Linked DNA regions of Neodiprion lecontei. The protein of the gene in region 3 purifies or fractionates together with the protein of the main gene of each other region. This does not show direct contact. Links are inferred from orthologs where the notes say so. Each region holds a gene or a part of one and is shown on either strand. Other genes may lie near its edges.

Region 1 (5,878 bases), on a different chromosome or scaffold from region 3:
GTGATATCACTCTAACTTTGAATATGAGCTAATTTCTTATTCTACTATATTATTTTCCAAGTATACCTTTGAATGTATACCTTTGTATAAATCGTACATGAGTTTTTGTTGTTACATCGAAATCAAAACGATGCATGTATCTTCAGAATAATAAGGTATCTTTTGCTGCTAACTGATTTAACTTAGGCATTTGACGAAAATTCAATGGATAAAACAAAGTGGGTCAAGTTCAGAAGCTCACTCTAGTAAATATGAAATACGATATTTGCCAAACTCATATGATTTCAAATGAAATAAATGTAGAATCGTAAAAAAATTCTGAACTTCTTACCTTGAGGAGTTTTATGTGTCTTTGGAACCATTTTGTCCAATCCCGCCATGTTACGTATCTCCCATGAAGAGTCATCGGATGTGGTTAAATCCCAAGAATTCTGAAAATGGGCATCATAAAATAAATAAGAATCAACAAATTTGACAAGTAAACCCACATATCGCGACTACTTACTGGATTACACTCTATCTGTATCGGCGAAGTATAGTCGTTTAAAACTGATGGTGATAGTCTGGTTCGTTGAGTCACAGGTATACCTCTAGGAGGTCTTTGTGGCGTGAGATCTGTTTTACCGCCAGTTTGTGAGTTGGGCTTAGAATTATTCTGAAGTCCAAGGAACTGTGTTCCAGCTTGGTTCAGCCTAGGTGTGAGGTACCCTGTGTTACATTCAGTCTGCGGTACCTGAGACTGTGACGAGCTGGTTTCTGGTTGTGTAAATTGAATGTCAGACATAACTTGATTGTCTGTTGGCGTTGGTGTCTGATTTGTACCATTGCTTACAGAACCATTGATTTGTGAGTTTAAGGTACTCGGCATATCCAATGTGTCATCAGCACCATCTTCCTCATCCATTTCACTGCCTGAAAATTACCATGAAAATGCAAAATTCTTTACTGTACAGGTTACTTGGATTTTGTATTTTGTATGAAATAGCATTTACTATAATAATGATTTGTTTTCTCTACTAAAAAACCCTCATAAGACGTAATTTTTTCATAGTGCGTTCTTATCATCTTTTTTCGTTTTTGATAATCTTAGTTTAAGAAGTGTCTATGGAGGTTTATAACATACTTAAAGAATATTCAACAGGATCCAATTGACCGTTGAAGAACTCTGAAAGAGTGGTCATAATTTGAACAACTTCATCCATTGACGGTCTCTCTTCTGGAACTTTTTTCCAACACCTAAAAGCAACAAATAAAAATGAGAGAAAGTTAATATAGAGAAAAATAGGAATTACAGATTAAATTTTGGCATAATGAGTAACAGTCGAACTCTACATCAAACACACACGTTCATGTCAAGTGGATTTATGACTGGACAGTACCATAAAGTACCATAAGATATTGAACTGTGTTCGAAGATTTTTTCTTAGTGTAAATAGGAAGATGCTGTAACAAATTAATATTTACTCACCGGGTCATAAGGTCTTCTATCGGTTTAGGACAACCATCCATCAACGGAGGCCTCTGCCCAATATGCACAGCCCACATAATTCTGTATGCAGAACCACCAATGTCGTCGAATGGCTTTCTACGAGATAAAATCTCCCACAAAATAACGCCCCAGCTAAACACGTCACATTTTTCTGTATACCGCGATCCTTCAAAGACTTCAGGCGCCATCCAAGCAGCAGAGCCTTTGTTATTGGTCATGTAAGTATTCAGATCGCAGGCTGTTCCAAAATCACAGATTTTCAGAGTCTGACCACCCAGGATGAGAAGAAGATTAGGAGGCTTCAAATCTCTGTAAAGTTTCCAATAGTCAAGGTTATAGTGTCTGATAGAATTTCAATTATGTCCATGTTTGAAAGTGAGTGGCTCTTAGAAACACAACAACATGTGCATAGCTATGTAATGATTAAATATTTGACCAACCTGTGAATTAATGGTTTTGGCTTCATGTTGTGAAGATAAGCAACCCCACGAGCACACTGGAGTGCCCAACTCATTGCATGGCCTGCTGTGTAGTAAGGTTGTGGATTACAATGCAACACTGTAACATTAACACATTATAGTTATAAAATATGTGTGTATTGTAAAGAAATTTTTTTTAAAAAAGCAGAAAAAGTATCAATTCTCAAAAGATACGTACACAGCTCGAATGTAAATGGAAGAATAAAGCAGAGAAAGTATCATTCACGTATAATTATTAGAATGATGGGACAGAGCAGCCTTAAAGTGAAATTTGAAAACTCAGTAATGTATGCTGTATTTTGCAGATCATTGGTGTTTTATATTCAGGCACTGCATTACTCCTATTTCATAGATAAGGTATCAAGTAAAACCACTACATTTGTTTAAACATACTGGGTTGTACTCAACAACCAAAATTATTTCAAGCAACTCTATTCGCAATTGATTAAATAAAGAAATACCATGATGTGATACTTCTGAAATAATACTTATCATTTACAAAGTAAATCATTTTTTAGGATGCATGGTCATTTTTTGGATATGTGTATATTTCACAAATCATTAGCTGGATGTTAGTTTGAATTAACACTAGTGTACTATAAATTTTCAATTACTTGCCATTATATAAAGAGCCACCCTCAGCATACTCCATAACTAAACAAACTGGATTTTTTGTACATGCACCATAGAGTTTAACAATATTAGGATGTGCTACTCTGGATAGCTGGCGCACTTCGACGGTGAATGCCTTCCTCTCTCCCTCAGAGTTTATGTGTTTCACCGCCACATACTGACCTCTCCATCGTCCTTTCCAGACAACTCCAAAGGAGCCTTTCCCAACAATCTGTTATCAGAAACAATTACTTTTTTACTTTACTGTATTAGTTAAAGGAAGTTGGATCGCTGACATAAAATGTCTAAACAAATCATGAGGCGCGTATCAAAGCTGATTAGATGAATTTGATTACACAGCAATGGCTGATATCTCTTTGTAAATAAATGTTTTAATTTTAACTAACGTTAGCTGATCTATAAAGCTTGTTCGTTGATATTGTATAAATCAATTCACTCTCTTTTACAAACGCGAGTTCTATGCACGTCAATAATAATGTTTACTGATGAATAACGGTGAGCAACAGCCCGAAAGTGGATGGACATATTAACAGTCAGGACTCAGTTGATTGATCGAGATAAATAATTGAGTGAAAAAAATATTCATGTATGTTTATAGAGACCAAAATGTTTTGGAGACGAAGATGTTGTGAGGTTATGTTTTCGCAATAGATTTTTATACGAGGTTCATTGATACGATATGGAATTTTACGAGTGCTATTTATTTAAGGGTAAGTTATTTGCTACAAAATGACAATTTGGTGAGGGTAAACATAATGAAAATGTGCGATTTTCTTACACAGATATCACAAGATTACCTCCTGTGTTTCAATTTCATTGTAGTTAATTTCTTCAACAAACTGTTGCTGATGGCCAGTTCCTTCCTTGCTCGCCATCACATACCGTCCGCATCACATTATTTTCAGGCCGCATTTACCCAGCTAACGCAAATTTTTCACAAATATTTATTTGAACTGGCATTCAAATTGTTTCGCCATTTGCCATTTTTCGTCTTTCTACCGACGTGTTTGCGTTGTTTTGAGACGAAGTGGGCGTTCTGTAATACAATTGGTCAAAGATATCAAACCTGCAATGGCGATCGCAGCGGCGCTGCTGAGTGGACGAGCGTGCAGCGGAAAATTTGAGAAATATCAAAAGCAGAACACTCGCGATAGTTGTCGAATATAATCAATTATTAGACAAGATTTTAAGTAAATAATATAATTCTCATATCGAAATGACTACGCCGCGTTGTTCCGAGTTTATTCTGGACTCGTAGGACATTTTTATCTCGTCTCCGGGTTCTGTACTCGCTTTATCGATTTGTTGCATGGTTCTGTCATGGAGGACCTCCTGCTGCAGATCGTCAAGGAGGCTTCGCACGCGAAATTACCAAACATACGTAAATCGGCGCAAGAGGCACATGGTGAGCTAAACATTGAACATCTTATCTTATCCATTTTTTGATTCTTCACTCACTTATTTTCTCCCACAGATTTCCTGGACAAGCAGCAAGGTCTATTGCGGGATCCCCCGCACGAACTGCGGGCGAAATGCCTCCACACCTGTCAGCTCGCTCTCGAAACAAGGAGAAGCAAATTTGTCGCCTTTGGTCTTGCTGGCCTACATGTAATGCATTCTAATGATCCCGATATTCACAGCTGTTCGCTTTATTTCGCCAGCTTTCCTTATCGCTCGTACATTGCCTCACTCTCACTGTGTAACACCCTCGTATTTGCAATAACCACATCCTGGGTGGTACAATTACTGATAGTGCTTTCACCATATGATACTCACTATGCTACACAGCTAGCACTCATTCACATTTCTGACGCTGACTGATTTTTTCTACTAATTACTGTTTCGACGATAACTGTATAAAAATATTTAAATTATATTTCGAAGTGAAACTATACTTTAACTGAAAAAAATTGTTCCAAGAATATAATTAATGTTAAAATTAGATCATTGTGCCACAAATTTTTGTTTTCAGAATTCATGATTTTTTGTAAAATACTTTGAGCAGCTTGACTAGATTTAGAAACTCATTCAGAGCTGTGTTATTTAGCAAGTTACCAATCGATATTCAGACAGTAGTTTTTGCTTACCAATTGATTGTTTTTACATGTCTCCTTGCAATTTCAGACCTGTTATGCAGTGAAAGTTGATCAATAAGAAATAGGAAACTATTTTTTTTGATTTCAGTCTCTTTCTCCTGTTATGACAGCGTTTTGAATATATTCTGCAAATTTGAAGCTCATGCCAAATGATTTTTATTGCAATGGGAGAAGCTCTAAGTTTTTTGGTCACGGTTTCGACACTGATTACACAATATATAACATATTTTTACTGACATATCAAGCACTCTGCTTATGTTTCACTTATTTGCTCATGTCGTTTTTTTAATCGACTAATATATAGTGTTAAATTTGACATTAAATGTTTCTAAGATAATTTATACTTATTCGCTTCAATGAGTTATTTTTTCAGGATTATTCGAACAAACATTTTGTTTCTAATTGAAATTGAATAGAATAATTTCTTATAGATATAAGTGGTTATATGCAATTAATGTTCATTTATGTCTTATGGCAGAAAATGCTGAGGGACGATAGATTTCAGTCTCCTTATGAGCCGGAGGATGATTCCTTGTGGCTTCCAGCTCAAATGCTCCATACTATGAGTTCCATATTATCCCAGTCAGACGATGCACAGACAGACATGCTAAAAGTAAGTTAGTTGTAAAATTGAAAACAGAAATGAAGAGCAAATACAGTCTAGGCTGTTTTTACCTGTGATTCATTTTAAACCAATCAAATCATTAATATTATTATTGATGTTATTCGTAAAATTTTTCCTAGGTGCTACTGCAAGTTGCATGTTCTTCATATTGGACAATGAATGGTCGTCTCATTATTGCTGTACTAACAACTTGTAGCGAGGCCTTTGAAAATGGAAACCAAGCAGTTAGAACTGCGGCACAGGCAGCTACCAGCCAAACTCTTCGATCCTTCTGCTTATTTCTAGGCAATATGAACAGATATTTAATTGCTTAGGATGTAGTTTAGTATACACCACAAATTTTGACTACTAAATATTTTTATTACAGATGAAGAATGTCAAGAAATGGACGAGAATGCCAAGAAGAATAAGAATATTCATGAAAGAGGGGTATCTTGTTTTAATGAGGCGATACCTATACTACAATATATCTGTAGCAAATTAGATGAAGCTCAAACGTAAGTATTGCTGAAAAAAATCAAACGAAACATTTACAGTTGAACTTCTGTAGAAAAAA
Region 2 (5,933 bases), on a different chromosome or scaffold from region 3:
CAGTCCTCTTAAATATTCACAATGCAAAATAACTTAGATCTAAGTACTCATAAAATGTATTTGTCAGGGTTATATATAAAGCAAAAATATTGACTTACGTTTATTTAACACCTTTTAATAATATTCATTTAATGAATATCAACAATTAAATTATAAATTCTACATTTTTAAAAGCAGATAACACAGCACAACATTGCACAATTATTCTTCAGGTAGATGTATCATGTAAACAAGTATGGCGGACGCATACTACGGAACGACCCGAACTAGGCCGAAAAGAAACGAAAGCTAAAATCTCTCACCCTTTAATACTCTGGCCATGAGAAAAAATCTCATGTTCTCCAAAAAATTATTTTTTTTCGCAATTTTGATTTAAAAAAAAACAGTTTTTAGTGAATGTGTATCTAGAAAACTAAATTATAGGAAGATACAAAAATTTTCAAGTAGTCTTTCCATTTGAATTTTAAAAGATATTTGAGATCTACGTTGAGCATGAGAGAAAATCTCATAACCCATGTCCTGAAGGGTTAAGGTTACATAACTGTGTCTGCTGGGTAGTAGATGATAGACAATGTTTTGCAGTAAATTGCAAGCTTACAAAGTTCGTCAAATATTTATTCATGCTGCAGTTTTATCCTTTGTTATGCCATCAATTTATTATTCAGTTTCGACGACGACTGCGGCACTTCGCCACGGTAAGTGTTCTCTGATAGGAGATAAAATAAACGCTCACTGCGGCAGCGAGGGTTCCGGAAAGAGTGATAGCTTGGAGGACAGTCCCTATAATACATCGGAGGTGAAGTGTTGCGTCTTTCTACTGGCCACTGCGCATACGAGGGACAGTCTAAGCAAAAATGTAATGTCACTGATTTGCAAAACAAAACGCGTGCAAAAGGGGCACTAATCTCCGGTGTACAAACTTTTTAAAAGACTGTATCGGTTCAAGAGAGATAGAACTTCACTTCCAAGCTATTTCTTTCTCCTGAAGGCGAGCCATATACATAGACTTATAGAGATAGACTGCGCGATCCGTGCACCGAGCTGAAGCCCTAATTAAAATGAGAAAGCAATAGTGGGATCCGACCTCTCTGCTGCACGGTCGAAGGAGTGAGGAGCAGCCGCCAGCCGGGAAGAGCATAACATGTATAAGCTAGGTGTTTCTCCCGCCAAGTCACCGATTAGAGTGAGAGGTACGATGCCGCTGTTACTTTCTCTTTCTAATTAGAGTCTCAGCTCGGTGCTCAAACCACGCAGTCTTTCTCGATAAATCTATGGCCGTATACCGAGCCACGCAATGAGCGTTCCAGTACTGTTATATTATATCTATATTATAATATTATAATATAGAGTTCAGTGATTATATGTCTATAATTATTATATTTCAATGGTATGAGCACGCGTGTAAGTAGAAACTAAAGTCCCGCATACAAAGAGAAGGAGCTCTGCTGGCAACTCTCTATTTTTGTCTAGCTTGCTTCTGAATGGCGCCCCTCTTTCCTTGCGCGTTTCGGGTTTTCGACGCCTTGCTCAGTCTACCTCAATATTATCTCTATGCCAAAAATCCGAGCGTGGACCACGGAGTATAGATACAAGGAGTCTGAACGGTATCGGGGTTTTCATAGTATTAATGTACGCAATAATAAACCTAAATCATAGTTCTCTTTTCTGCCACTGGCTGCGCAAGTACTCAGGACGTACCGTTGTTATTATTATTATTACACGTAAACATACACCATATACTAGCTCGCGAATGTTAAAATTAATTAAATTAAATATAAAATAAAAATTTATCTATTTAAAATTAATTTTAAGAAAACAATGGGTAGGTGTTGTGCTGTTCATGGTTGTCTTAGTGGCCGAAAGGCAAGTGAGAATGTAGAGAAAGTAGCTTTATTCAAAGCACCAAAAGTGAGTAACCTCAAAATAATATTGAAAATTTGTGTTATTAACAAATAATTCTAAAATTTATGTAGTTTTCTAATATTTGAAAAATATTTTTATTTATGTGCTTAAATATAAAAATATATATTACTTTTAAGGATGTTGAATTGCGTAGTAAACGGAGCTCAGCTTTGGGACAAGAATTAAAAGCTAGCAGTTTTATTTGCGAATTACACTTTAATCCAGAGAATGTGATTAAAACTGATCGAGAGATTTTAAAAGATGGTAGTGTATATGTGTATGAATACCAGAAAGTTCATTTGAGGAAGAAAGCTGAGCCAAAATCACATACTAATGACGACAATGAAAACAATTGTAGCTTGCTATTAAATAATGATTCTTCAACAATCTCTGATATAAATGACGATACGACAAGAAATATATCAATTTTTGTTGGCTGTGACGAGCATAAAAAAGAATTAACAAAAAAAATAATTAACAATTTCATAATAATGCGGGGGCATTTTCTAGTCAAATGTTTTAATAAAAGTGCTACGGAGAGAAAAGTTAAATGTAAATCCTAAAACTTTGTATTTAATTCCACATTTCTCAGAATATTTTTTTCCAGAGAGGTGTCAATAGCAACAAGACTTCCCGCGTAAGAATTTAAACGAGTGCTTCTTAAAAAGTGGCGCACTCTACCGGCAAAAAAATCTGTCCCCTAAATTACGACCATTCGTTCAACATTACGTTCAGACTCCTTGTATCTATACTTCGTGGCGTGGACTCTCTTGTGTGTCCTGTATGAATCACCATCGCTCTTCTGTCAACGCGGTGAACGCGACTGTGCTTGAGGCTAAATTGATAGTCAATTGCAATAAAAATAAAAAATGAACAATTTACTGGAAATTCTTGTCACACAAGTGTGGTTCCGGATACCATTTACCGTTGGTCTCCGTCTAAAATTTTCATGAGTCGATCGTGGAAAACAAGTAATTACTGTTTCATCGTTCAATTTGTTATTGAAATCGGGAAACTCGTATGCGACGAGAATTCAAATTTCACTTTTCCAATGTGCGGTACGTGACAGCAGATAACAGTTTGTTTACTTAATTGTCAATAACTTTCGGATGCGTCTTATGAACGTTGATTAGTTGACAAACATGTTAAAAATGTTTCGCGACGAGGTGAGTTTCAAAGGTGTGGCAGAAAATTGTTACCAATATCAAACGAAACTACATCTTTTAGGTTAGGGTCCATCTCTACATTAAGCAAAGTTTTGCCCTTTTAATTTAGACGCAGATTCAAATTACCTGCATACTTGTAATCGGAGATAGATTTATATGCTTGAATAAAGTCAATCACAACGGTTGCCAGGCAAACTCGTATTAAGGCAACTGGGGCAAATCATTTCTGAATATTGTTCATTCAGTGTGACTTGCCAGGATCCTTGTAATTGCAAGAAAAGTACAGTAATTTAATGGTGAGCAGAATCAATGTGAAATTTTCAAGTTACGCACCTGATCATCGGCTGACCGGTAAAATCTTTATATATCGCAGATGCGATCGAGTATAGATATCAAGACAATATATTAGTCAAACTTGACCAGACAACTCAAAATTTAAGTACATCCCGTTAACACGAAAACAGATGTGTCTTCGATACTCAGACCAACATATGGATACCTGAAATGAAAAATTTACCAATATGACCACTAGTCAGAATTATTCAGTATGACTCATTTAGTTTCATAAATATTGTTTCGCATTTTCAGCCACCCTTGATCCAAGCTATATTCAATGGCAACCTGGAAGAGGTTAAGGCTTTGCTGGTGCAACAAGTTGGTGTAAATTCGAGAGATTCTGAACAACGATCTCCTTTACACGCAGCTGCTTACATGTAAGTTACGCATCTACTTTGACACAACCGTGTGTGTCCAATCAATCAGAGCGATGCATTTAAATATGTCACTCTACCATATCTTTCATCTATTCTGGTTTGAACTCGATAGTCTATAAGCCTAGAAGTCTACCGCTAACGCTGAACGTCCTCGAGAGTTACGAATGACTTATTATCCGCCCTTATCATTGTGTCAGCATTATCACCAGTATGACGTCTTGCATCTTCTGGTCTTTTTATCGCTACTCTTTTCATCTCTTTCAGATCTTATCTTTGAGATAATATTTATTCCCACTAACCCATACTCCCATCGTACTATTTTTACATATTCCTTCAGTACTGCATCGTTTCGTTCGAACAAACAATATATTAGGGTCGACGTGTAAAGCTTATAATCATAAAGATATCCTGTGGCAATGGGACATAACGAATAAACTCTGACTCTGCGCAGGGGAGATCCAGCCGTCGTACAGTCGTTAATAACTTGGGGAGCATTTGTCAGCCAAAAAGACAACAGATGGCTAACACCGTTGCACCGAGCCTGCCGTTCAGGTAATTGGGGCGCCGTTAATGTACTGCTGATGTATGAGGCAGATGTGAATATTCGTGACCGCAATTGGCAAACACCGCTGCACGTCGCTGCTGCTAATAATGCGATACAATGCGCAGAGAGTCTCATCCCTCTGCAAAACATAAACGTCACAGACAGGTTAGTGGTTTGTTTTTTGACTATTTATTCTTTTAGTAATCATAAATTGCTTGACTGGTGTGACATTTTTATTTACTTACATTTATTTATTTGACCAAACATTTCTCAGTGTAGATATGGATTTTGCAAAGTAAAACCTTGTAGAGGTAATATATAACTGAAATCACCTATACATAGATCTGAGAAATAATAATACTACTGACCTAAATACTAAATATAACAACTAAATACCTACTGGTTTGATTTAGAGGGTATTCATCTGATCATATAGCAATATGCTATTTAATATCCATGTGTCAACAGTTACAACCTTGAGTTATTTTTTAATTATTATATATTAAATCTAATCGAATCTGTTAATTTTTTCTTAGAATTTCTTTTATCAGTTTGAAACGTTTTTAGATCATTTGGTAGACAATCGAATATTCTAATTGCTTTGATGTAACTATTTTTATTGCCAACAGCTAACAGTGCTAACAAAATTAGTTGTTCAACATTATTTTTACTTCTTAACTTATTCATTCTTATATTATCACATTTAAAATTTAGACAATGTAAGTACAGTCTGTTGAAACTGTTGTTTAGGGGTGGAAGAACGAGCTTACATCATGCCGCCTACAATGGACACTTTGAAATGACGAAGCTTTTAGTATCTCAACCCGGGTGCATTCTCAACGCTTGCGACAAGAAAGATCGGAGAGCCTTGCATTACGCCGCCCACATGGGTCACGATGCTATTGTCAAATTACTAGTGGAAAACACGGCATCGGTCGATGTTAAGGTACAGATCAAGTTTTTGTTCCCCAAAAATTAATACAAGCAACCCTGATTTCACAAACGTCACAAATACTCAATAACATCTCAATATCGAATTCATAATTTATATACACTCCCATTATCGCATTACAATAAACATCACCCTCTTTTGCCAAGGATCGTGAATTATATACTCCGCTGCATGCCGCCGTTGCTTCAGGAAAAGTGAACTGCGTCCGTATAATCATTGCCGCCGGAGCAGATATTGAGGCAAAGAATGTGTATGGAAATACGCCATTGCACATAGCCTGCTTCAACGGGCATGCGAACACTGTGACGGAATTGATCAACCACAACGCAAATATTGGTAAGCTAGTACAAAGCTTGTCCCAATTAGAAAACAACTTTCAATTGGTTCAGAAATTGCATAATTAAAGAACGTGTGACCTCCAAAAATCAATATAAAGCGATATTACGTCTATCCTTTTCCTAGAGGCATTGAATTACCGTGGTCAAACACCACTGCACGTTGCTGCCGCCAGTGTGCATGGTGTCGAATGTTTGGAGGTTTTACTATTTTCTGGTGCCCAAATCAACGTTCAATCTCAAGATGGTCGTACTCCGTTGCATGTGACCGCCATTCACGGTCGTTTTACACGCTCCAAGAGTCTACTGGACAGAGGAGCG
Region 3 (6,517 bases):
ATTGAAATATGACGCTGTATTGATCTGTTAGGAAAATTGCAAATGCCAATATAGGGTGATTCTTTATCTGGGCTCGTATCAGTCTTATTTATTTACTGTGGAAATAATTATTCTTCACAAAGCACAATTTCTTTCAATAAGCGTTTATGTATGAATCGTTAACGAAAGACTGATTAGAAAATCGATATTCAATAAAGTAATTCTACATTACAAAAAACAACTGTATAGTTTGAAATACACAATCAAGCAAAGTAGAAACTAATTTGAAGTTATCATTGATTCATGACTCCACTTACGAAGACACCTTTGTTTGAGAATGATCCAATTTTTATTGAATTTATGCTACATCGACAAATCTTTAATCAGAAAGACAATTGACTAGCAAAAAATTTCAAGAAATCTTATGGCATGGATAATATATCGTGGAAAATCGTAAAAATTGTAACCAAATTTGGGCACTGAGATAAAATTCGGAAAAGAGACCCAAGAAAATTTTTTTCTTTTTGTAGATTTATTTTTCTGCACATGTCAGCACTGTTGAGTCTAATTTTTTTCCAATCAATATACAATTTGAAAGTGGTCTTGAGGTTGGATCTTTCTTCATCGGTGTCGCATGTCGTTTATTTGTTCAATTGTTTGCCATTTTTACATCTAGCTCTTTTTCTTTTGTTACCGTACAAAAGTCGCGTGTTTCTCAAGCCAACTTTCATTTGGAATAACGGGTGAAAGATAGCGTGAAAACAGGCTGACTCATATTATCAATTGTTAGATCATCGGGACGATTGAGACTTTAGAATAGAGAATTAGAGTCTGGACTAAATATTCGCGAAGGAACTTGATACAGGGTGTCACTCGAGGCGAGTGGGCGACCGGGGAATTTCGTTATTGACCCTGGCGACCCGTACGTTTGAAATTTCCCAACTGTCAAACGCGTTGACGTATCGTTAATTCCCAGCATCGACGGTATTATTATATTGACGGGACGTTTAAGGTCGGCTTGGTAATTTGCCACGCCTTGCGTTGTATCGGAGCAAATAGGTTAAGAATAACGATAAAAAAAATTAGCATGGATTCGTCGATAATTTCGGGGCGTTGATGGATGGAAGGATCGAACTTACCTGCCGACAAAATTTTCCAGAACGGAACTCTTGCCAGCACTTTGTCCGCCCACAACAGCGATCTGTGGCAGGTCGAGTTGCATGTGCACTCCGAGCTGAGTGAACGCATCTTGAAGCTTATTTACAATTGGTATCAACTGTTCCATTCCCGTATTGCCTGACATTTTGGTTAATTTTAAGTTATCGTCGGCACTTCCTCGAGCAACAAGAGCTATTCAACGACACTGGAAAACAGAATAAAAGCGTATCAGCACGGAGCCGCGACCACCACCTCCGTCCGACAGGGTAGCAGTAGAGCGGTCAGAACTGTCTCTCACACTGCTCGTCTCTCTCTCGATAGAGCAAAATGGCTGGGCCCACGATATTCCTTGAGCCGATTCGAACTCCGAACCCGAGTGTTTTCACCGCATTTTTAATACCCGGAGCCCGATTCTGCGAGCGAGAAACGCGCGTTTCAGCAAAGTTCCGTAAGAAAACGGACAGAACAGCAACACTGCGAGTGCCCTACGCCGCGATCACGCAAATGAGATCCAGCATCAAGATTCTGGACGTTAACGTTATAATCGATAATCGAAGCTTGCGCAGTGCCGCCGAGTTTCTGACCCAGTTTTAGAAACGGAAAGAAAATCTATACAGATAACGACGTAGTGAATAGCGTTTCGTTGACAGGGGTATTTACCAGCGTTAAAAGACACGTTTTATACAGTTTTTCAATCAAACAGTTATCCACAAAATTACCCGGAGTCGGTGAAATTTTTAATTAATAAATATGATATTTTTTAAGCAGCGCGCTCTTTCTTCCGGAATATATAGCGATAAGCCAGTCACAAGTACCCTGTTCCACAGATAGGTGACAGGGCAGACCCGCTATTTCCGCGACATTACGAATCCAAAATGTCAGACATCGATAAATGGATTGATATTGCAAAAGAGTGCAAATACCTACCAGAAAATGACCTCAAGGTAATGAGCGCATTTCATTGACGATAAATAAATATTTACTGCTCGTATAATCTCTCGCCGTACTTTCGAAATACCAATTTTCATGAAAATATTTTAGGTTACATTTCCCGAAGTATTATCTTTGAATAATTTAACTTGTACTTTTACCTGTTTATACAGAAATTGTGTGACATGGTTTGCGATTTGCTCCTCGAAGAATCCAATATCCAGCCAGTATCGACTCCAGTAACCGTATGCGGTGATATTCACGGACAGGTGAGCTACTGCGACCCAATATAACCTCAAAACTTTAGGGCAGTACTTGTTGATGCATATCCCATAATATTTGTGCGTCTTTCATGTCAGTTCTACGACCTGGAGGAGTTGTTTCGGAGCGGAGGCCCAGTACCTGATACAAATTACATATTTATGGGAGATTTTGTCGATAGAGGATATTACAGCTTAGAAACATTTACCCGTCTGCTAACACTAAAGGCCAAATGGTCAGACAGGATAACGCTATTACGAGGAAATCATGAATCGCGCCAAATCACACAAGTTTATGGATTTTACGGTAACCATGTGCTCTTCTATTTACCATTGTAGGATCCAGTAATCTCAGAGCTTTGGCTATACGTTAGGATGGATCTGAAGCCCAAAATATAATTAGCAAGTTTTCACGCTGCGAGCATGCGGTTGATTTTCGTTTTAGTATCTGTTTGATTTGCTTTTCTTTCAAGCCTTACGCTTCTTTCGCTACTGGAAGGAAATCACATAATGTTTACATGCAAAATTTAGTTTGACGAGCATGGGAGTTAAATGTCAGCTTTATAAGTTATTCAGGTTGCCTGCCCCCAAACTTTTTTGGAATTTGACTCCAGAATTCTCTTTCCTTCACAGATGAGTGTCACAATAAGTATGGAAATGCAAATGCGTGGAAGTACTGCTGCAGAGTATTCGATCTTCTTACAGTAGCTGCTGTGAGTATATTTATACATTAATGCACCATGATTTTCAGTACAAAAGTAGTAAAAACTGAAAATACTAGATACGTAATAATTTATTTCAACGAAATTTTTTCTTCTAGTTAATTGACGAACAAGTGCTCTGTGTTCATGGTGGTTTGTCACCAGCTATTAGGACTCTAGATCAAATTAGGACAATTGAAAGAAATCAAGAAATCCCACATAAAGGTATGAACAACTATAAATCAAGTCTATCGTATAACAATTTGAGTAAATATTATATCCATCAAAAATATTATGTAATGATTAGGAACGCTATCCTGAAAACTTCCAGTAAGCATTAAGTTACTCAGCTTTGCACTTTTGAAACTGGTGGGTGAAGTTCGTTGCCGAAATCTTGTCAAAGCTCATGGAATGCCAACATTTAAATAAATTTATAAACACAAAAGTGTACTGCTTTCCTCTATATAAGAAAAGTTTTGGTTCGATTGCCTGCCAAATTTGACTGTCAGTTTCAACTTCGTATGTGGCCAACTCGATTGATATTTTCTCATTCTTTATTTACTTGCAGGTGCTTTCTGTGATCTAGTGTGGTCCGACCCAGAAGATGTCGATACCTGGACAGTAAGCCCACGAGGAGCCGGATGGCTATTCGGAAGTAAAGTTACTCATGAATTTATGGGTATAAATGATCTTCAACTCATATGTAGAGCACATCAGTTAGTTCACGAAGGTAAGCCCTTGCGGTAATAATAGTTAGGTTATTATTTTGTTTATCCAATATATTATTTTTCTTTGCTTCTTCAACTAATCGTAAGCATATTGTTACTGTCGAAAGAAACTAGTCAATAATTTCGTATCAAGACATTTGAAATTTATTTACCAAATGCAATATCTCATTGCCAATGAAGTCGCCAGAATTCACTAAAGTTGAAAACTATAGATTTCAACTTGGTATAGCAAACACAAATGCACGTACGGCAATAACTTGATGCTAAAGGATCGAAATATTCTTTAAATCGTTAAGTATTATTCATATTTTGTAAATAAATATAACATTTACCTTTGTAGGGTATAGATACATGTTCAATGATAAGTTGGTGACAGTTTGGTCGGCGCCAAACTATTGTTATCGATGTGGCAACATAGCCAGTATTCTACAGTTCACAACGGTGGACCAGAGAAATGCGGTGTTATTCCAGGCAGTGCCAGATGCCGAAAGAGTGATTCCCCCACTTACGACAACACCTTACTTTTTGTGATCTAACTCGGCGCTCCATCTGTCTCGATGCAGAGGAGCGGCGTCGGGATCTAGGCCTCACGGAGATACATGACTGCTCCTTTGTCAATGAATTGGGCTGGTATTTTGACAGCATGAACGAATGTTCTTGTAGTATATCATAATTTGGGAGGTTTTTTTATACATCAGTTTATCATGAAATTCGTAGTTTTTGTTTTCTTTTTTTTCCGTATCAAGATATATTTCCGGCACAATGATTGTGCCCTTCTTTATTGTTCAAGTAAAATTATATGTAAAGGAATTTATGACCTTGTTTTTTAAAAAAATTTTATACGCTAGAAAGTTGTCTGTGGTAAACTATACTGAGAAATATAATGATATAAAAAGGTTCTGCCATTGCATCAGCCTGATCTGTTTACTTAAAAGAGCTTCTGTAAAAATTCAACAACGACATTCTATGGTCTAGATGCTTTTGCTGCCTACTGTGTACATTCTGTAGAGCATTCGCACCTCAGAGCAGCAAGTTGGACATGTTTGGTCGCCTGAGAGCTTTTAAGTAACTTATAAATACACGAAATGTCATTGGTCCAGTGATGTAAAGGGAAATAACATAGAAAATATTATTATTCAAACATTCCGACAAGAAGTGGGCTCTGGGAACAGTGAATGCTTCTTCGACATTACAGTTTACTGTGTCTAGAATTCAGGTTTCAAGAATGCATAAGCCAATGTCGTATCGTTAGGGTCTTCCCGAAGATATTAATAACTTGATTCTGTTCTAACGAGCTTCGTACCGACTATTATTGCTAATGCTAATATTGTATCTTTATCTTGAATAATTGTACAATAAAAATAAAACAGTATGATCACGGATGGTCCGGTAAAAGTTTAGCACATACCATTTTACTTGATGATAAAAAAAGCATTGCAACATTTTTGTACGAAACATGGCAATATTTTATCGATAACCAATTCCTTGCATTTCGTAAATTATATGATGGCTTATTGATATCAATACATAAATGTTTTATAAATGTTTAAATTCCGTGGATCGCAATAACTGATACTCATAAAAAAAAAAAAGACACATTACTTTAGGAACGATGGTAACCATAAACTGTACGAAGTTGAACGTAGTATACAGCTAGTTCAGTCCTTTCCGTGACCATCTTGATACAGTTGAAGCAGAGATACCACTTTGCCAAATAAAAAGAAACGAATAACAAGTATGAGTGTACAGTTTCCATATCATGTATTCATATGCCAAATTATTGTTGTATTAAATAATTGATAGGTAGATTATCATAAGTTTATTAACGTAGGGAGCAATTTTTTAAACTGAGACCCTTAGCAATGTGCCTCTAAATTAATAAGCGTTTGTGTAATATAATAATGCATAATGAAAATACATGGATAGTATTAACTCACCAGCTGCTGCTGTTGCTGTTGCTGTATGTAACAAACCTGAATTCTGGCACTCTTTGTCACTAATTTATGATACTCCTACTGAACTCACAAACGAAAGAATTATAGTATAAAATGGCACTAGCTGCCAAATCAAACCAATATACAATTTCAAATTTTATCAAATCGACGGAGTAGATCTGCTCCGAGCAGATCATATAGAATTTATATCGTGCACGTAATGCGTGTTCTTTGTTACAAAATCATGTCAGTTCTCAAATGCCACGTTACAGTGCTTTATTTTTAATGCAATTACTGTGAGAAATTCCTCAGCTTGGCATCTACACATTATAGAGTTATATCAATATCTGAATTTCATGTATCCGTAAGAATGATAGACATTTATATTGCCTCATATTACTTGCCAACTGACACAGAATCGTTGAACAGTCTGTTTTAAAGTGACAACAACAGTATGCAAGTGTCTTTTCTCGTTTCCCCCTGTTGGTCATGATAAAAATACTTTTGATATAAATAAAGAATAAAGACTTGAATAAAATCATTGGCTTGAATGGATGTGGGACTAATTAAGACATTGGGACTCACGTTATAAATTTTATAATCGCTTCGGCAGCATCTGATCCTTCGTAGATATGAAAACGTGAATATCTATACGGTTCGTACTCTTGGGAACCTTATAGTATTAGCGCCTACACCTGCTGAGGTACTTATCACATTTGCCTCCGTATCTCTCTATTTGCAAACACTCAAGCTTTGTCAAAGTGTCTAAGTACTTGCACCAAAACACATAAGTATACTTGATTCACCAAACTTAACTGATAAAAAAT
Region 4 (5,150 bases), on a different chromosome or scaffold from region 3:
TTCAGACTTGGAATTAACAAAAATTTGAACCGAAGGTGAAGAAAATATAATAACATGTGAAACGGTGCTAACAAATAGTTTCTAAAGTTTCTAAACAATATGTTCAATTGGCTCAACTATTTTACTTTCTTAATTAATATTTTCGATTGAATTCCTACATACCAGCGACCAGGGAAACTATGAGTAATGACACTGGTAGCCACATTGTGACAATAATGGTACAATGTACCCTGAATGGTGTAGGTAACTGAATGATAACTGATCAGAGTGCAAAGTATCTTTCACAAATTTATGATTGGCACTTCGTATATCTATCATTCGGTTGTCCCCACTCAGTGTTAAAATCTTAAACCTACTTCATGGACTGATATTTATCACGCACGCAACATGCCTAGTACTGTTGTCAGGTGTTAGATCATGAAGTTTTAACTATCATGTAGCATGATTCTTGATATAACTCTGTACGGCAATAAATTTTATTGTCTCGTTTACTGGTTTATTGTTGCATTCACCATCAATAGAGTGTTAGAGACTTTCCAAGTCTTTTTGCTATTGATTATGAACATGGTACTATCAGTACAGTTCACTACAATTTCAGAAAATCAAGTGATAATATGTATATAATATCATGTGTAATAGTCGTGTTAATAAAACCTGCGATAAAATACTTATTGATAGGACGGTAATCTGAAAATCACAGACAAATTATACGTGTACATTTGCTTATAAACTTATGCCAAACCTGATATAACTGTAATTTAACTATTGTCTGATTATCGTATTATCATCAATATCTAACGTGAACTTGATTATTATATTTTTGCCTTGAAATCAATTGCCTTCATCAAGATTATCGGCATATACTTTAAGATAGGCACTTCTTCCCACTAATGAGGATATCTACACTTTGAATAAAATATAATGGGTTACTTTATCAAAGCAAAAATATGGGATGTGTATTGTTGTACTGAAATATTGATAATGAGAAATTATGTAACAATTTTTTATTTTTTATTTCATTTTGTGTATTTGCATACCCATTAGTTACGTCAAATGATAATGATTTCTATATTTACGATTTTAATAGTAAAAACTGAGTTCTGTGCATCAATACTTTGATCCAAAAAAAAGTATCGTGGCAACAGTTCATAGATAAGAAGCAGCAATAGACAAATCATTAGATGTTAGGAAATAGAATAAGTTATATTATGCCTTTTTGAATGTTATTGATTCGAACATGAACATCTGGTATTAAGATTTGCCTATATTTTTCCTGTATGTCAGTTCACATAGCAAACAACACAGTTCACACCATTACAATATATTTTTTTTTACATAGAAACACTATTCGTTGTTGACGTAGTTGTGGTACTGGATACAGTGCCCAATGTTGATGTCGATTCAATCTGCGTAGCAAGATTTTCCGGTTTAACGTTTGATTTTTCAGAAATAGTTAGCTTGTGACATTTACTTTTGGTTATCGGTAAATACTGAGCTATTTCATTTGGTTCTGTGAATATTACAGGTGATACCTAAGGAAAAATTATTAACAATAAACCAGTATTTACAGAAATTTTAATAATGATAATAATAGTAATAATAATAATAAGCATGACTCACTCGCAAATTTGCGACCTTGTCTTCCCTGGATGTGAATTCCCGTAAAAGGTAATCCTGGCCAAACTCATAAAAAAGTCGCGTATCGTTAATTTTCAGCATAACATTGTCCACCCGTAGGAAGTAACGTAACAATACAAAAAAACTGCTGGGCATCACACGCTGTACAACACATGAAAGAAATCATTCGTATTGATGATAATTGTATGTTAGAACAATAATTATATTCAAAAGAAACTTACAATCTTCACGGAGCATACAGCGATTCCATTATCGTGAAGCTCATCTTCAAATAACGTCAGATCATGATAGAACAGTATTTTTTCTTTCTGTTTCAGCTTATTAACATCAATTTTTTCACTAGTCTCAACGACATCGAAACCTTTCATGGTACCCATGTAATCCGTTGTGAATGTCCAATCAAATGGTTTTACTTTTTCTTCCAGATATTCGCTACTTTCTGATCTATTTGTCATAGTACATAATTATTGAATGTACTCTGTAACCAGTTGAATTTTTAAAAATGACATCAAATATAATACCTCGACTCTTTCCAAGCCTCGGCACAGGCCAGCTGAAGATTAATTTTTCCATTAGAAACTCGTTTGAGAGCATCTAAGGCATTGAATTCTATAATAGCTTTGTCCTCATACTTCAGGGTTAATATGTTGTTTGGAAATACCATGTCAGGCATATGTGGAAGGTCCAATGTTCTGTTAAACCTGCAACGTTCTCTACTCAGCACATATTTCGTTTCGCAAAATTGCTCGTATTTTGATGAATAAACAGGTAAATAAGAAAAGAACGGAATAACATATTCCATACAGCCATCTCAGTTTCAACACGAATAATCATGTTCAATCATATGGAATCTTGAGACTATGATAACTATGACGTACACACAAAACTGGCAGGAATCGGCGTCATTGTCTCCGCAGGCATTTTCGCTTCGCGAACATTTTGAATGAAGTATGTGAGATTGGGTGTACTTTAAATGCCAAGGTGGAAATAAATGTTCCTCTTCATTGACAGGGAGTCGCAGGATATCAATGCCTCCGTGAATTTTCACCGTCGTCATATCTGTAATAAGAAGGTGAAATCCTACTTGCGGATAATGTTCTCAAAAAAATCATGATAAAATCTTTGTCGACGGGTTTCTATCATCGAGGGCGTAATCCAATCAACATTAGAAATAAGGTGTTATTTAAACAGCGTATTCGCCTTTGGCAACAACATAACCTCTCCGTTAGACTAACAGACCAATAATCGACACCGGACGACCGGTGTAAATAAAGGTCGGGTGTAAAATCTTGGTAAATAGAACACGGCATCGATCCCTTTACCTGCGACGAATTATGGAAAAATTAAAACATCCGGAAAATTAGTAAACCTCACAAAAGTTTCAGTAAACCACCGGCTTTTTCACTAACTCTCGACAGTTGACACAGTGATTTTAGTTCTTCCGTATCCCGCCATTTTCAGACAAGTTTGGCGGTGCAGACCGACTACGCATGTGTCGCATGTGTTACATTCATGCGAATTATCACCATGTATTGTTTAGAGCGATACCATCTTGACTGCACAGGGATGAATCCGTGCCGAATGTCTGATAATTCGCGTACTATCGCTCACTGGATGTCAAATATCATGTGATCAGGTTGCTCCATTTGCCTGCAACGCAGAACGAGACTGCAGGTGGGTGCAATTAGCGAGGTTTTTCTGGAAAATAATACTACAATAACTTTGATACCAGTTCGAGTAGTTACGAAAAAATAGTATTGCATCAATTAGATTACGACTGCGTGTTCGTAACACAGACTATGCGAATATATATCCATTTATAAGCATGTATGTATTTGAATTTTTGGAATTCGCACAAGATGCGCTTACCGCCAGATCCTCGCGAGATCTGAACGCGCGGCTGCGTGTTTCGACAAGCTGGAGCAGCCCTCGGACTGCTAGCGATACAGTTAAGTCGAATGGACAGAGAGATAGTTTAGCGCGACAGTTATCTGCGGAGGATAGATTTGGTTCAGTCGCTTTAAAGCGGTTCCCCAAACAGCATCTTTTCCAAATGACAATTCCAGTGCAAGATTATAATTAATCGCAGCTAACGCAGACCAGCTTCCCATACGTAACCGAGCGTTTGCAAGTGATTTTATTTCTCGCAATATCTATTTTTCGCCCTAGAGATTGATTTCTCTGTTTTTACTATTACGATTTATTATTCATACTCTCACGAAGCTGTAAAACGATTCCAGCGATAACGCGCCCAGCGAATGAATAAGACGTAGTTGAAGATGTTATGGAATTTTTATGTATTCGAAACGTCCCCACAATGCGTTGTACTCTCATTCGAGTAAAGAAGAGAACCATGCAAGCTGTGTCGCGATCGACAGTGGATAGTCTCGATTTGGCGGAATAAGATTCGAAGATAAAAATAGTCATACAATTTATAGAATTAGGTCTGAAATACATATTTGATCCGCGTGTGGCTGCAAATAAATTACCGCGAACAACGAACTGCGGTTAAATTAACTCCGCGATGACTGTCTCCGAAAAGACGGAACTGACTCGAGGATGCAACGGAGCATCGGGTGAACCGGAGGACCCTGAAGAACCCGAGGATTCAGAGGTCGAAGGAAAGCAATCCAGGGGTGAAAAAACGGAGAGAGGGAAACGGAAAGCGAGTGTCGTGAATTCGGTAAAAAGACAGTTCTTGAAGGCGGAAACTATTCGGAAATTCAAGTCCGTCGCAAGTCACGTTGGGCTGCTATTCACCCTGATGCTTTACACTGCCGTTGGCGGGGTGGTGAGTTGTTAAGTCTGAAATTCTTGTAATTGTTAAAATTTTTTAATGATGAGCGTGATTCGAGAATTCAAGATTGAAAAACCTCAGTTACTCGCTCTTAGAGTGATTAGTTATTTTTCTTTCTTCTTCACCCCTCAGTTATAATTTAGGCTTCTTCGACGTTGTTTTAGTCTCTTCTGAATGATACCACCTTGCTAACAGTTGGCAGTCGGTTTGTTTGACCCATTTATCTTCCTTCGTCTTTCATACAATGTTCACATTCGAAGAGTTATTTTTATGTTACCACTCACTTGATACGCGAGACCAATAGGTAAACTTTGTACAAGCCTCTTCAGCGGACTGATCGTATGCGGTTTGCTTTCGACCTGAAGGATGATTGAAATACACTTGATTAGTTAAATTCCCGTTTTCTCGTTAGTCCAATTAGGGCATGGTTGAAAAAGTTCTTCCTTGTTGTTTCAATGAATTATCGAAACTGCCGTAGTAACGCAGCTGAACTCGAGAACTATCCTAGCAACTGAATAGATATTCGGTTCTCCATACCCTTAGCGTCGCGGTATGCATATACAAACACAAATTCAACCGCTTCTAGAATTATCGTCAGACTTGTGGAAACGATGCTTTTTCGAGGAATCATAAAAACCTCTCAATATTTCAAAGGTAAGTACCACTAGGCAGATAGAATGTGGCACGCCCACGCCAAGTCGTTTGTATACGTAGG

Evidence for each region.
Region 1: the proteins of serine/threonine-protein phosphatase 6 catalytic subunit (region 3) and mitogen-activated protein kinase kinase kinase 7 purify together in Homo sapiens (affinity purification with western blotting; 3 studies listed by BioGRID and IntAct, with this or other methods). This does not show direct contact. The link is inferred for Neodiprion lecontei from reciprocal best matches to the Homo sapiens genes PPP6C and MAP3K7.
Region 2: the proteins of serine/threonine-protein phosphatase 6 catalytic subunit (region 3) and serine/threonine-protein phosphatase 6 regulatory ankyrin repeat subunit A purify together in Homo sapiens (affinity purification with mass spectrometry; 9 studies listed by BioGRID and IntAct, with this or other methods). This does not show direct contact. The link is inferred for Neodiprion lecontei from reciprocal best matches to the Homo sapiens genes PPP6C and ANKRD28.
Region 4: the proteins of serine/threonine-protein phosphatase 6 catalytic subunit (region 3) and TIP41-like protein purify together in Homo sapiens (co-immunoprecipitation; 4 studies listed by BioGRID and IntAct, with this or other methods). This does not show direct contact. The link is inferred for Neodiprion lecontei from reciprocal best matches to the Homo sapiens genes PPP6C and TIPRL.

The regions. Positions count from the first base shown.
Region 1 is NC_060260.1:31,604,181-31,610,058, reverse strand, and holds the start of mitogen-activated protein kinase kinase kinase 7, read right to left. Parts: upstream 3,614-5,878; 5' UTR 3,477-3,613; coding exon 3,399-3,476; exon of another isoform or gene 3,380-3,398; intron 2,813-3,379; coding exon 2,587-2,812; intron 2,048-2,586; coding exon 1,930-2,047; intron 1,799-1,929; coding exon 1,469-1,798; intron 1,237-1,468; coding exon 1,124-1,236; intron 913-1,123; coding exon 506-912; intron 432-505; coding exon 332-431; intron 1-331. Other genes in the region: brefeldin A-inhibited guanine nucleotide-exchange protein 3, read left to right, coding at 3,922-4,006, 4,076-4,209, 5,176-5,310, 5,442-5,607, 5,690-5,819. UniProt on the Homo sapiens protein: Serine/threonine kinase which acts as an essential component of the MAP kinase signal transduction pathway. Plays an important role in the cascades of cellular responses evoked by changes in the environment.
Region 2 is NC_060264.1:23,667,108-23,673,040, reverse strand, and holds the start of serine/threonine-protein phosphatase 6 regulatory ankyrin repeat subunit A, read left to right. Parts: upstream 1-2,673; 5' UTR 2,674-3,044; coding exon 3,045-3,068; exon of another isoform or gene 3,069-3,081; intron 3,082-3,110; exon of another isoform or gene 3,111-3,129; intron 3,130-3,177; exon of another isoform or gene 3,178-3,361; coding exon of another isoform or gene 3,362-3,364; intron 3,365-3,656; coding exon 3,657-3,781; intron 3,782-4,232; coding exon 4,233-4,490; intron 4,491-5,075; coding exon 5,076-5,271; intron 5,272-5,423; coding exon 5,424-5,613; intron 5,614-5,739; coding exon 5,740-5,933. UniProt on the Homo sapiens protein: Regulatory subunit of protein phosphatase 6 (PP6) that may be involved in the recognition of phosphoprotein substrates. Involved in the PP6-mediated dephosphorylation of NFKBIE opposing its degradation in response to TNF-alpha.
Region 3 is NC_060262.1:30,903,086-30,909,602, forward strand, and holds serine/threonine-protein phosphatase 6 catalytic subunit, read left to right. Parts: upstream 1-1,939; 5' UTR 1,940-2,012; coding exon 2,013-2,081; intron 2,082-2,228; coding exon of another isoform or gene 2,229-2,240; coding exon 2,241-2,336; exon of another isoform or gene 2,337-2,339; intron 2,340-2,426; coding exon 2,427-2,634; intron 2,635-2,960; coding exon 2,961-3,040; intron 3,041-3,147; coding exon 3,148-3,253; intron 3,254-3,596; coding exon 3,597-3,758; intron 3,759-4,096; coding exon 4,097-4,287; 3' UTR 4,288-5,443; downstream 5,444-6,517. Other genes in the region: dynamin, read right to left, coding at 1,119-1,282.
Region 4 is NC_060265.1:5,357,735-5,362,884, reverse strand, and holds TIP41-like protein, read right to left. Parts: upstream 3,111-5,150; 5' UTR 2,961-3,110; intron 2,698-2,960; 5' UTR 2,696-2,697; coding exon 2,517-2,695; intron 2,340-2,516; coding exon 2,160-2,339; intron 2,083-2,159; coding exon 1,860-2,082; intron 1,780-1,859; coding exon 1,621-1,779; intron 1,533-1,620; coding exon 1,332-1,532; 3' UTR 1,245-1,331; downstream 1-1,244. Other genes in the region: uncharacterized protein LOC107222416, read right to left, coding at 163-205; TWiK family of potassium channels protein 7, read left to right, coding at 4,163-4,429. UniProt on the Homo sapiens protein: May be a allosteric regulator of serine/threonine-protein phosphatase 2A (PP2A). Isoform 1 inhibits catalytic activity of the PP2A(D) core complex in vitro. The PP2A(C):TIPRL complex does not show phosphatase activity.